3 linked regions of the Tribolium castaneum genome follow. The protein of the gene in region 2 interacts with the protein of the main gene of each other region in a pairwise test. Links are inferred from orthologs where the notes say so. Each region holds a gene or a part of one and is shown on either strand. Other genes may lie near its edges.

The links.
Region 1: the proteins of putative RNA-binding protein Luc7-like 2 (region 2) and Gadd45 interact in a two-hybrid assay, tested with the Homo sapiens proteins (2 studies listed by BioGRID and IntAct). The link is inferred for Tribolium castaneum from reciprocal best matches to the Homo sapiens genes LUC7L2 and GADD45G.
Region 3: the proteins of putative RNA-binding protein Luc7-like 2 (region 2) and U2 small nuclear ribonucleoprotein auxiliary factor 35 kDa subunit-related protein 2 interact in binary tests that used the Homo sapiens proteins (3 or more experiments, as listed by UniProt). The link is inferred for Tribolium castaneum from reciprocal best matches to the Homo sapiens genes LUC7L2 and ZRSR2.

What each region holds. Positions count from the first base shown.
Region 1 is NC_087396.1:14,217,525-14,220,408, forward strand, and holds Gadd45 (uncharacterized protein Gadd45), read right to left. Parts: upstream 1,688-2,884; 5' UTR 1,501-1,687; coding exon 1,451-1,500; intron 1,363-1,450; coding exon 1,143-1,362; intron 1,086-1,142; coding exon 894-1,085; 3' UTR 607-893; downstream 1-606. UniProt on the Homo sapiens protein: Involved in the regulation of growth and apoptosis. Mediates activation of stress-responsive MTK1/MEKK4 MAPKKK.
Region 2 is NC_087399.1:9,864,763-9,869,217, forward strand, and holds part of putative RNA-binding protein Luc7-like 2, read left to right. Parts: intron 1-1,328; coding exon 1,329-1,760; intron 1,761-4,189; coding exon 4,190-4,455. UniProt on the Homo sapiens protein: May bind to RNA via its Arg/Ser-rich domain.
Region 3 is NC_087398.1:7,930,431-7,934,600, forward strand, and holds U2 small nuclear ribonucleoprotein auxiliary factor 35 kDa subunit-related protein 2, read left to right. Parts: upstream 1-1,295; 5' UTR 1,296-1,529; coding exon 1,530-1,537; intron 1,538-1,634; coding exon 1,635-1,726; intron 1,727-1,782; coding exon 1,783-2,601; intron 2,602-2,653; coding exon 2,654-2,774; intron 2,775-3,422; coding exon 3,423-3,657; 3' UTR 3,658-3,694; downstream 3,695-4,170. Other genes in the region: MKRN2 opposite strand protein, read left to right, coding at 304-437, 515-592, 645-1,077. UniProt on the Homo sapiens protein: Pre-mRNA-binding protein required for splicing of both U2- and U12-type introns. Selectively interacts with the 3'-splice site of U2- and U12-type pre-mRNAs and promotes different steps in U2 and U12 intron splicing.

The sequences.
Region 1 (2,884 bases), on a different chromosome or scaffold from region 2:
AAAATAATTTAAAGAAAATTTCAAAAATAAATCCGAAAATAAAGACTAGCAAACATATGTAAATTTACAATATGTAATATAATGTAAATTTTAAGTCGGTTTATACATAATTAACAACTTCAGGTTAACTTCTCTAATAACCGCTAATAATTATTTAAATTTTAGCTGGAAAAAGATTTCTAACGAACGAAATAATTTGTGATACTACAATAAAGGTTCGAAGAAAAATACTAAATTGCTTGTTTATTTCACTTAAAATAAAAATACTTTCTTCGGGCCAGCGAATACAAGTTCATATTTATTTACCAACTTGACCATAAAAAAGTTTGTTTACATGTTTGTGTAATAAAGCTTTAAATGTTGGGATTTTACGTCCAAAATGATCTTTAAAAGTTACTTAACTCTATTATGCAAGATTACATAATACTTGGATTAATTAGTACATTATGAACTAGATAGTTCCGATGGAAATTGAAGGTTTCACTCTTTTAGTCAATTTAGTTCAAGTCGTAACACCTATTATTTTCTCAGAGTTTTTATGACCAACGTTGCTCTCCATCAAATTACATATTTAGTCAATGAGGCCAATGAATAAAAAACATCAAATATCGTAAATCATTTATTCGAACAAACTGTTTTAAAATACATCAGTATTTTCAATTCATCAATAAGTACAATAGGTGTATCACGAAATCCCTTCATCGTGATACACGGTTCCCAGAACAATATTAATTACAAATACAAACTTATCAACAAATTATTAACAATACAATAATTCTCATATGACTGCTAAATCATAGCACACACCGGGACCGTGTCACCGGTATAACTTGGGTATAATTTCATTTTAACCTTTGGTCACAATTAAGACCACTTGTTCATTTTTTGCTCAATCATCCGGGGAGTTCCAAGACAGGTCTTGGGAATTCCTCAATGGTGCACTCGTAAAAGTCTGTCAACTCTTGCTCTGAGGGTGAAAGCGGGGGGTCCTGTTGTGCCTCCATGTCTTTGGTTATAACAGCGCAAGGACATCCAACTCGTGACCCCAATCCGCAATATTGTGCTAGTTTTTCACTACTATCGACCTGCAACAAGCAACACAAATTAGCACTTGGACTGGTTACAACCTCAAGGGTATTTACCTGAATGACAGGGATATAGTTTTCGAAGCAGAAGGCCTGAAGTAGGACAGTCTGCATGTGAGTGGTGGCGTCCCCAGGTCTGGTTTGAGGAAGGACGCAAAGGAGGACATCCTCCAACGAGTTCTCCAGACAGGAGATGGCCGGGAGCAGGCCACAGATCAAGCGGCCCTCCGTCTTGGCCTGAGTCAGGACGCCCTGAAGGGCCCTCCCCAGTTTATTTCTGCAAGAAAAAGCAAACTTGGGTTGTAGCTCCATGGCACGCTTTCACTCAACAGTTCAACAAGCAATTGAATGTTAGTAGTTAGTACCTGTTGATCATTTTGCATTTATCCACGTTTTTCAATTTGAGGATACACATGGTTGTTGAATTTCTTGGGGGTTTCACTACCGAATTCACTTTAGGGCACTGGGCACTCCGTAATCCTGAATGGCACAATGTGACGACACCGTTTTCAAAACGTTGTGTAATAGCTAACTTTTGGCTTTCACATGTAACGAACTTCACCAGTTTTTGCCGTGTAATGACGCAAAATGCGCCGGTTTTCCTTTTATATCAGCGCCAGAGCTGCGCAAAGAGGGGGATAAAAGGAACTCGAGATGTGAGTTTCGAGGAATCCCCAGCTCGAATATTTGATTACTCATTCTGAAAGTACGCTAGATTTTTTCAATTACGAAAGATAAGTGGATATTCCGCCGGAATTGCAGGGAATTCACCGATTCTGATCCGGTGAAATGAGAGCATCCTGAAGGCAAGGCCGAACAGACTTTGGCCAGGTGTTCAAAGGTGATTTTGGCCATTCATGGAAAGAACGGTCAATGTGTTTCGTTAGAATTCAAATTCAAAGACATCGTCCGTTTGCCCCGACAAGTCGGCACACGTTTTTTGAACATATTGCATTAATGCAGGACGTAACAAGTCTCAACCTGATAATACCTCGTACGAGTTTTATCAAAATTTGTTTACGCAGTAAACCGTTAAGGATTATTTGTTTTGATTCGATGAAAAGCACTAGCACATTGTTAGATAAGGACTAATCGTTACTATGAAATGTTTTTTAATCTCGTGTGTAATGTTTGTGAATTGCGTTTTTCTTATAAGGCAAAAAAGTTTGTTTTTGAATTTTCAGCCGAATTTTTTTATCAACACCCAACCTGTTTGTCTGGCATTTTGACGTATTTTGCTTCATAATAAATGCCGTAACAGGAATCAACTTGTACCTCGTAATAGGATTTCGGATTCTGCAAACTTTGATCAATATTTCCGGTTATGAGGGATTAAGGTCATTTAGTTCTAAGTTTTAAACTTTGACAGGATTCCGGGAGTTACAGGTGGGTGAATTTGGTCAAGGCCGTATTATATTGCAGTCATTGATTAAATAACCGCTTTTAGAGTAGTGATAAGACCTTGATCGATCAATGTGTAGAATTTGGAAATGTATTTTGTAACCATATGAGTTGTAATGTAACATTTTTCCCAAAACAATAAAACTGTGGGTAATTCTAGAAATAACAAGCTACTGTTTGTTCCGATTAAACACGTTTGGCATTTTGTGCAAAACAACATTAACAACGCGGAAAGTTCGCTGTTTGCGCTCTTATTGACTGTCAAAATTCCCCAAACATTCTCTTCGGAACGAAATGGAACGTGCGTAAAAGCACTGCATGTGTGGTGAAACGCGGATTCATTACATAATTCATAGTAACTTTACGATTTGCGTCATTGAAAAACTGGGTGAATTAAA
Region 2 (4,455 bases):
TGTTTACGAATATTAGCATGTGTTCATGTTTGATTAACAAGCGTTTTTTTACCACCATTGCTATGCTTGTAATATGCTTTACAGAGTCCTAAGAACTCAAAAAAAAATTCTGCCCAAGCACGAATATCTGTCCTTGTTAATGGTATGCGGTGGCGATTTTAAATTTTTATTGATGCCAGAGGAGGAGATACACTGTACTAGTAATCATTTTTGGTTTTAATTGATACATCCATCATTCATGCATTTTTTTCAGAATATTTTTGTATTGTTTAAAATTGCTTTAAAAGAAAAAAAAATTGTTGAAATCTTATTCTCGAGTAAAAATGATCATTCTTAAACTTCTAGTACCATCTTTCTAAGTAGTTATTTTATTTTTGATATTTAATTCAACATCCAAAAAATGAAATATTGCAAAACTTTTGAATCTACGAAATTTTCTACCCATCTTTGTGATTCATTTTAACGGTTTTTATAAATATTATCAGTAGAAAAGGAACTTAGTACCAGTCCAACTATTTGCACCCTACAGTTGTAAAATTTTAAATACGAACACGAAAAACACAAATTGATAGCGAATAGGACATAAAGAAGACTTTACATTTTATTGTTAAATATTATGTTAATTTAAAATGCACTAATTCCTACAATTATTCTCGAAACCGAGGAATAATGCAGTGTGCATTGATTTACGATTAATTTACTTTTTGTTTATACATGATGGATGGGACACTACCAGAAACTAAAAAACACTTCAGAAATTATTTACCAATTATAGTACGTCAGCTGTCAACAGTATTTTATATTATTGCCTACAAGGCAATGTATGTAAATGTTGGAATTCACTTTAAATAATTATCGTCTCATGTTTTAAATCCACAACAACAAAAAAACTTTTTTGTTGTAAAATACATCAAATACAAACTGAATCGTATATTTTGAAAGAAACTTTGCATTATTAAATTTATTTTGAAAATTACGGTGTCAGGTTGCATTATTCCTGGAATCGCTGAATTAAAATTAAATTAAATAAAAAATTATTTAATAGTCAACCTAAATTCTGTGCAATTATTTATTTCTGAGATACGTATAGTAAAAATATAGTACTTCATTAGTAGTCTCACTTTGTATGGTCGTCATAAGGATAAGCATCTCCTTTTGACATTTGGATTCAAGTGTTCACTTTTAGGTTGAAGTGATACTTTTAACTATTAAATACTAATATTTGTAAGTATGTTTATAAGTATTAAAAAAACTGATAATTACAAATTTTTATGAATATCACCCAATACCCAATAAAATATAAAACCAGTGATAAAAAATTCCTGAAGGCAATGGAACATCTGCAAGCTTTTATCACCGATTGCGACCGTCGCACCGAGGCCGCCAAGCAACGCCTCGCCGAAACCCAAGAAGAACTATCGGCTGAAGTGGCCGTTAAAGCGAACAGCGTGCACGAATTGGCGGAACAAATCGGTCAAAAGCTCGCCAAAGCCGAGCAACTCGGCGAAGAGGGTTTTGTCGACGAAAGCATGAAACTCATGGAGGAAGTGGACGAATTGAGAAAGCGTAAATTGGAAGCCGAGCAAGAGTATCGCAATTCAATGCCGGCAAGCAGCTACCAACAACAGAAATTACGAGTTTGCGAAGTTTGTTCCGCTTATCTCGGCATACATGATAACGATCGACGTCTCGCTGATCATTTCGGCGGGAAATTACATCTTGGGTTTATTAAGATTCGGGAAAAGTTGGCCGAACTTGAGGTAAGGATATTGTGTTTTATGTACAGCTTGTACAGTCACCTAAATTGAAAATGACGCAACCAAACCCTGTCATATTCAAAAATCATCAGAGACATTTCGTTATTTATCCTTTGAAATGATTGACGATTTTTGGTTGGAGATGGTTGATTAAAAAACATGACAAATGAAACAATTTTTCACGGCCTCTTCGATAAATACATAATATTTATATATAATATAAATATATACATGCAATTTTTAAATTCCCCGCAAAAAATAAATTAGTTTGCATATTTCATTCACCAAATTAGATTGAAGTTGATGTTCCACTGGATTTAATGCATTTTTGAATCAGATACTCATTTATTTTACAAGGTTAGGTCAGAGAACGTCTAAAATTAATAAAAATATATTCTAAATTGGTGGTATTTGAATCGCTCTGGTTTATTTTTGTGCGAGATTACATCAAAAATAAAAGAAGAAAAAAGTTATTAGTAAAAATTATGTTATCCTCCCCTCCCCTCTCAAGCCCCGTAACTGGAAAATTACAAAATTAGGTCGAATTGATTAAATTTCGTTTATTTTGTTTGATTTTGAACACGTCAATAATTTTAGAAACATTTTCAAACAAACTTTGGTCAGAAGGTTGTTAAACTTAGTTTTTTGCACGATTTCACTAGAGGAGACCGAAAAAGCACCAAATTAAGTATAGCACTACACAATTCTTGTTTTTTGAGTGTTTTAGCACATTCTCCAGACAGAAATTGCAAAACTTCGTTAAAGTTAGCCGTAAAATCACCAAAACAATTAATTTATTTAGATTATTTCTCTCGATTTAATGCATTTGGACTTTATTTTGCAAGATCATTCTTAAGCTATGTTAACTGGATTAAGCTCTGTTTTGTATGAAATTTTTTGTGGTCAAAAATATGTTATTTGTGTATTTTTGGAAACACGTGTTTGCAAGATATATCTTCAGTTTCTTGCAAGAAATCGATTGAAAAATCATTTTTAGTCAAATAACATTCATTTTCCTTTTCCATATGTTTTGATATAGTTTTAAGGAATTATTTCTTAACATTTTCAAATAAAACAGCAAACAAAATTTCAACAAGTTAGACCCCATTGTTAATTCGAGGTTTTCGAATTTTTAAACAGGTTTTTGAGATAAAAACGGTGTTTTTTTAAGAAAAATTTTGATTATTAGGTTATTTTTACCAGCTTTCGTCGAGAGATCTATCTATTGTTCAAGAACAATAAATTTTAGTTAAATAGTACTGCTATTTCTGCGTTTCCCAAGAATTCAAGCACTTTTTAGAGCTAAGGTATCATTTTTTCTGAAGATTTCGATGAATTTAAATTCAAAATTATCTTGTTTTTGTCTTTTTTTAGCATTATTTAGCAGGATATTCTTATTTAGAATAGAAACTAAGAACAAATCGAAAAGTTTCCCAGTTATACTAAAGTGGGTGTTATTTTAGTTTTCTTCGAGTTTTGTTGAAGCAAAAAAAGTTCTTTTCGAAAATTTTAGGTAAAATTGGGGAAAAAAATATCTAATTAGATCGAAATTGATGTTAATTGTCTTTTTTAGATCGACTTTACAAAAGAACTCGTTAAAACACAACAAAAAATTACAAAATAAATGGAAATTGATGTTAGTGTCTCTCGATTTAGCTCATTTTGGAGCAAAATTACTTCAAAATAAGCCGAAAAACCGTAACATTCGGTCTGAAATCATGTTCCGTTTTTGAGTTAAAAATATTAGGTTTAGAGATGTCGCTAAAGAAAACCAAAAAATCACCAACTTTTGGCTTTTTACACTTTAGTGCTTTATTTAAAAAAAAATGGGCATAAGTGGCTGTAAAAACATCAAATTTGATCGAATTAATGTTAATCTTATTTTATTTCAGTCATTTTCAAGTCTTGAACCTGAAACTTATTTATTCTATTAAATGCTCCCAGAAATCACAATAAATCACATAAAGTGATCATAATAAGATTAAAATATTTTGCCTGTTTCAGGCAATTTCTTTTGTTTTTAAGCGAAATTTCGTCAAGATAGGCTGAAAAATGTCAAAATGTCGACCAGAAAAAGGTTTTTTTTTTCTCAAGCTTCTAAACACGTTTTTGAGTTTCTTAACTAAATAAATCGTGCATAAAGCTCATCTAATTGGCCAAAACTCAAAAAAAATTTAAATTTTTCAGTATTAATTGACCTGCTTTAAGTATAAATTAAATTTAGAAAGTAAATTCACTCCAAACTCAATAATAAATCGACATTTTTTCATTATTCTTTCTTCACATTAGATTAAAATTAACCATTTGGAGACTAGAAACGTCGCAACGAATTAAAAATAAATATTTTAATGCCATCTTTAACGTAGTCAATATCAACCACTTTAAGGAGTTTTAAGTAATTTCAAAATATTTTATACTTTTATATATTGTAGAAAAACGCCGAGAAACGGAAGGAGGAAAAGCGCAAGTCCTCCCGTGACAGAGACCGGGACGATCGGGAAGATAGATACAGGGAGAGACACCGCGAGCAGTATGTCGGGGGGCGCGAACTGGACAGACGCTCCAAAAGACACCGTTCCAGATCCTGGGACCGCAAAGAAAGGGAAAAGAATGACAGGGATCGGGATAACAGGTCTCGATCGCATCGCTCCAGATCCAGGAGTCGGGAACGGCGCTCACACTCGCGCCACTCAAGTTC
Region 3 (4,170 bases), on a different chromosome or scaffold from region 2:
GTAAAAAGTTTACAAATTTCGAAAACAACTAGTGTAAAAATATTTAATTTTACTGCTACATCACCTAAATCGATTTTTTAATTAATTTTGAAGTTTATCTTTCATTTTTTTTCTGTATTATTTTTTTGTGACGAAAATTCAAAAATTACAACACAAAAACCAAGCTCGGAAAATAAAATCGTTTGAAATGAAGCGTGGTTTCATTGTATTCCCCGGTGTGTTAATTTTCGACACAAATAGATATTACCAATGTGTTAGGTAACGATTTCATAGCTCATTACATTGTTGCAGAGGTGATTCGCAATGAAAGTAATGGATCCGGGTATTGTGTGTTTCCAGCACTGTGGTCCAAAAATTTTCTGTTTCTTGTTGCCGGAAACGTGCCCAGTATGCGGAGCCGATCTTTCGCAAACAAACTTTTCTCTCTTGCCCTTCAGGTACGTGCTTTTATTTTTTTGAATAAATCCAGGTTATCCGTTGATTATTAACTGTTAATTTATTAATTTATTTGCAGAGTTCCGTACCCGTTCATTCGAGCATCACAGTATCCTTGTTCTGTAATTATAAAACCAACATCCGGTGATTTTTTAAAGTAATTGCTCGTTTTATACAATTATAATTTATTACGACCCATTCCTTTCTAGTGATTATTACAATTCGATGGATTTGCACATCGGCGTTACGACCTCGACGGGGACCATCGTAGAATTCGACAAAAACGGCCTTAGGAGGCACCGGAGCGAGCAGTGGAACCAGTGCTTGCTCCTGGACCAAGTCCCAAGTTCCTGGACGGAACATTGGGACAACACTTTGTTCCAAGTTTGTAAACAGAAATGCTGGTCGTCCAAAGCCTACAGTGAAAATAGACATAATTGCTACACGTTTGTGCTCACATTTTTAATGAATTTGAATTATGGAAATTTGAGCAAAGCGGCGAGCAATAAGACGGCTTTTTGTGAAAAATTTATTGTGCCGCGAACAACTTCCGCGGGGAAGTACATTTCGCTTTATAGAAAACTAAAAGAGAGTGACTTTTACGTGCATAGAACGCCACATGGGGCGAAGGGTGCTAAATAATTGTAAAAGCATTATTTACGTTAGTATATTATTTAATACGGATACAATTTTCCTAGTTTGTTGTATTTTGTTATAATATAATAATAAATTATAAACATCACTTCCTTGTAGTTTTATTCTAATTTTAGATAATTAGTCGGGGGGTTTTACGGTATTTAATTTTCAGTGATACCAACACAGATTTTTTCTTCGGTATTAAGCCCAATTCAGGCTGAAGCACAATCGGTAATTCGCCTTTGACATTGACAGCTGTGGCTGACAGTTTTTAAGGTTATAGTTTACGTCTAGTGTGTTTATTTGTGGAATAAATTGGTTTAAAATAATTAATAAAGCAACTTTGGGGTGTCTGTGCGGTTTCTTGTCATATTTTCTTAATATTCCACCGGATTAGGTGTCGACTGATTCCCCTTTAATCTTTTTTGAAGACATTTTCAGGCATTCAGCTAGAATTAATGGGGAAGTAGGTATCCTTTTTAAAAATAATTATGCTGTAACAATACATTGTGGACTAACGTCTCTTACAAATAAGCGTTATGTTTTCTTAATGATTTACATAGACATGAGAAATGGAGAAAGGTCGCTAAAAGAGCTAGAAGGAAACGCATTAGACAGTCTCTAGCAAAAATCAGACATGAAAAAGAGGAGGAAGGTTTGTGTCTCGACTGTTTAATCAACAGCCCAACAATTATTCTTTTCATAATACAGAACAAAGAAGACGAGAACAATCGCCAACATACCTCCAACTCCTCCAAAAATATGAAGAAGAGGAGGCGTTTCAGGAGGAAGAAGAGGCCCGGTTGAGGGCCGAAGCGGAGCAGCGCTGGTTGAAGATCGAAGAAGAGGCCCAGAGACAGTGGCGGGAGTTGCAGAAGAAGCTTGAGGAAGCGCGTGAAGAAAGAATCCGCCAAAACCTTCTTATTAAACTCGAATGGGAAAAGGAACAAAAACGTCTCAAAGAACTAAAAGAAGCCAAGGAGCGCGAACGCGAAGAAAACGAAAAAAGGCAACAACAACTTCGAGACGAGATCGAAAACTTTATCGCCAATGGGGGCGACACCCCTGAGCACCTCAAAGTCAGCGTTGAAATGAATCCAAACAAACCAGTTTGTCCATTTTTCCAAAAAACCTCGGCTTGTCGCTTCAGAGACTCGTGCTCTCGCAACCACATCAAGCCGGGAGTTAGTCGGATTTTGCTCATTCCGAATTTCTATTCACACTATAGTTTAGAACAGACCGAAAATGAATATGATGATTCGTCGCTAGAGTTTGAAAATCACGAGACGTATTCGCACTTTAAGGACTTCTTTTTCGACGTTTTGCCCGAAATGGAACGCTTTGGGCGAATTCGGCAATTTAAAGTTTGTTGTAATCGCGAATCGCATTTACGGGGAAATGTTTATGTGGAGTATAGCACGACTCGAGAGGCTGTTAAAAGCTTTCAAGTCTTTAACGGACGCTGGTATGGGGGCAGACAGCTAAGCGTCGAGTTTTGCAATATTGAGTCTTGGAAGTCGGCGATTTGTGGTGAGTTATCTGTGAGATTATTATTTTCTTTCGCTTAGGGAAAGGTTTTCAGGTTTGCATAGTCGCAAAAAGTGTCCCAAAGGCAGTTCTTGCAATTTTCTCCACGTGTTTCCTAATCCACAAAACATGTTTCATTTGGCTGACAGAGATGAGCATAGGACACCGTCTAGGAGGTAGTAAAATAATATTTAAGGTAGAACTACACTGAGCAAATTTGAAACTCAATTATTAAGAAAAATAACGAACAAATTGTTTTTTACAATTGGATGTTGTTCCTAGGTTAAATCATTACATCACAGACCAGTTGTTATCTCTTTTATCTCGTTTTAAATATTTTTATCAAAATTTTAACGAATTAAAAAATACAGTACGTATTATAAATAAGTCATTAAGGTATTATTAATTATTCGGGAATGCAGTCATGTTTATTTTTTGGTACGTGATATATTGTCTACGTTTCGCCACCTTCTTGGGGCTTCTTCAGGACAATAAATAGTAATTTATTGTCAGATCTATCGATTATATGTGTAGCCTTAAATTGCCTTCGAAAAATATTTAAAAAAATATCCTGCAGGGTTCCGCAGTAATCTGAATTCTTCTGAATATAATTAATCTACGGTAGTAATTATTCTAAAAATATTCAGTTGTAAAAAATTATTTTGTACATATATTACGTTTCTTAAAAATTCAATTCAAATTTTGCGATCAGGCGCTTGTTTGAACGTGGTTTGAACAGGTCCTCTTCAGACACTCTCAGGATAGTTCAACCTTGATTATCCTAAACAGTTTCAGAGATTTATTAAAAAGTACTTCATTTACAGTATTAGCAGATCAGAGACAGAAGAAAGAAATTGGAGGTGGTCCGAATCGCCGGAAAGATTAGAGTACACAACTAGTGAAAAAAGACGTGAAGAAAAACACACGAGAAATGGCTGTAGTTCTAAAAGACGATCTCAGGAAACTTCACATAGTAGAAGTTCTAAAAGTAGAAAAAGGAGCAGAAGTAGAAATAGACGAGAAAATAAGAGTAACAGAAAAAAGTCCAAACACCATTGACTGTAACAAGTTGTTTAGAATAAACGTTTAACATCTACTTTTTATTGGTTTTTATTATTTGCAATGAATACAGTTATTCATCACTTTTGGACCAGCTGTATGCAATATTGGCAAACTTGAAAATTGGTCAACAAAAATATAATAGTGGGAAACCTGGGTGAATAAATACTGATTATTCCCGCAAGTATTTTTTCTCGGATGCGATTAATGAGAGGAAGCGGTGCCAAAAACGATCAATGGGCCCTCCAAAAATCGGTTTTCGCAAAACCTGACCTACGTGAGGCAAATCCTGCGGCTCTATTAATAGGAAAACTATTTACAAAAATAGACTTGTGTCTATTTTGCGACAATCCGGCAAAATTCATTCGACGGTTTTTTGCCGCGCAGAAGTGGAAGAGGATGAGTCACTTCCAAGAACGGTTGTACGTAAATTTGAATGACCGCGGTTTAGTCTCAATTTTTCTAAACGCCCGTTTTCCTTCTCTCACTGTTTCACGTACGGGGGATGTTCGA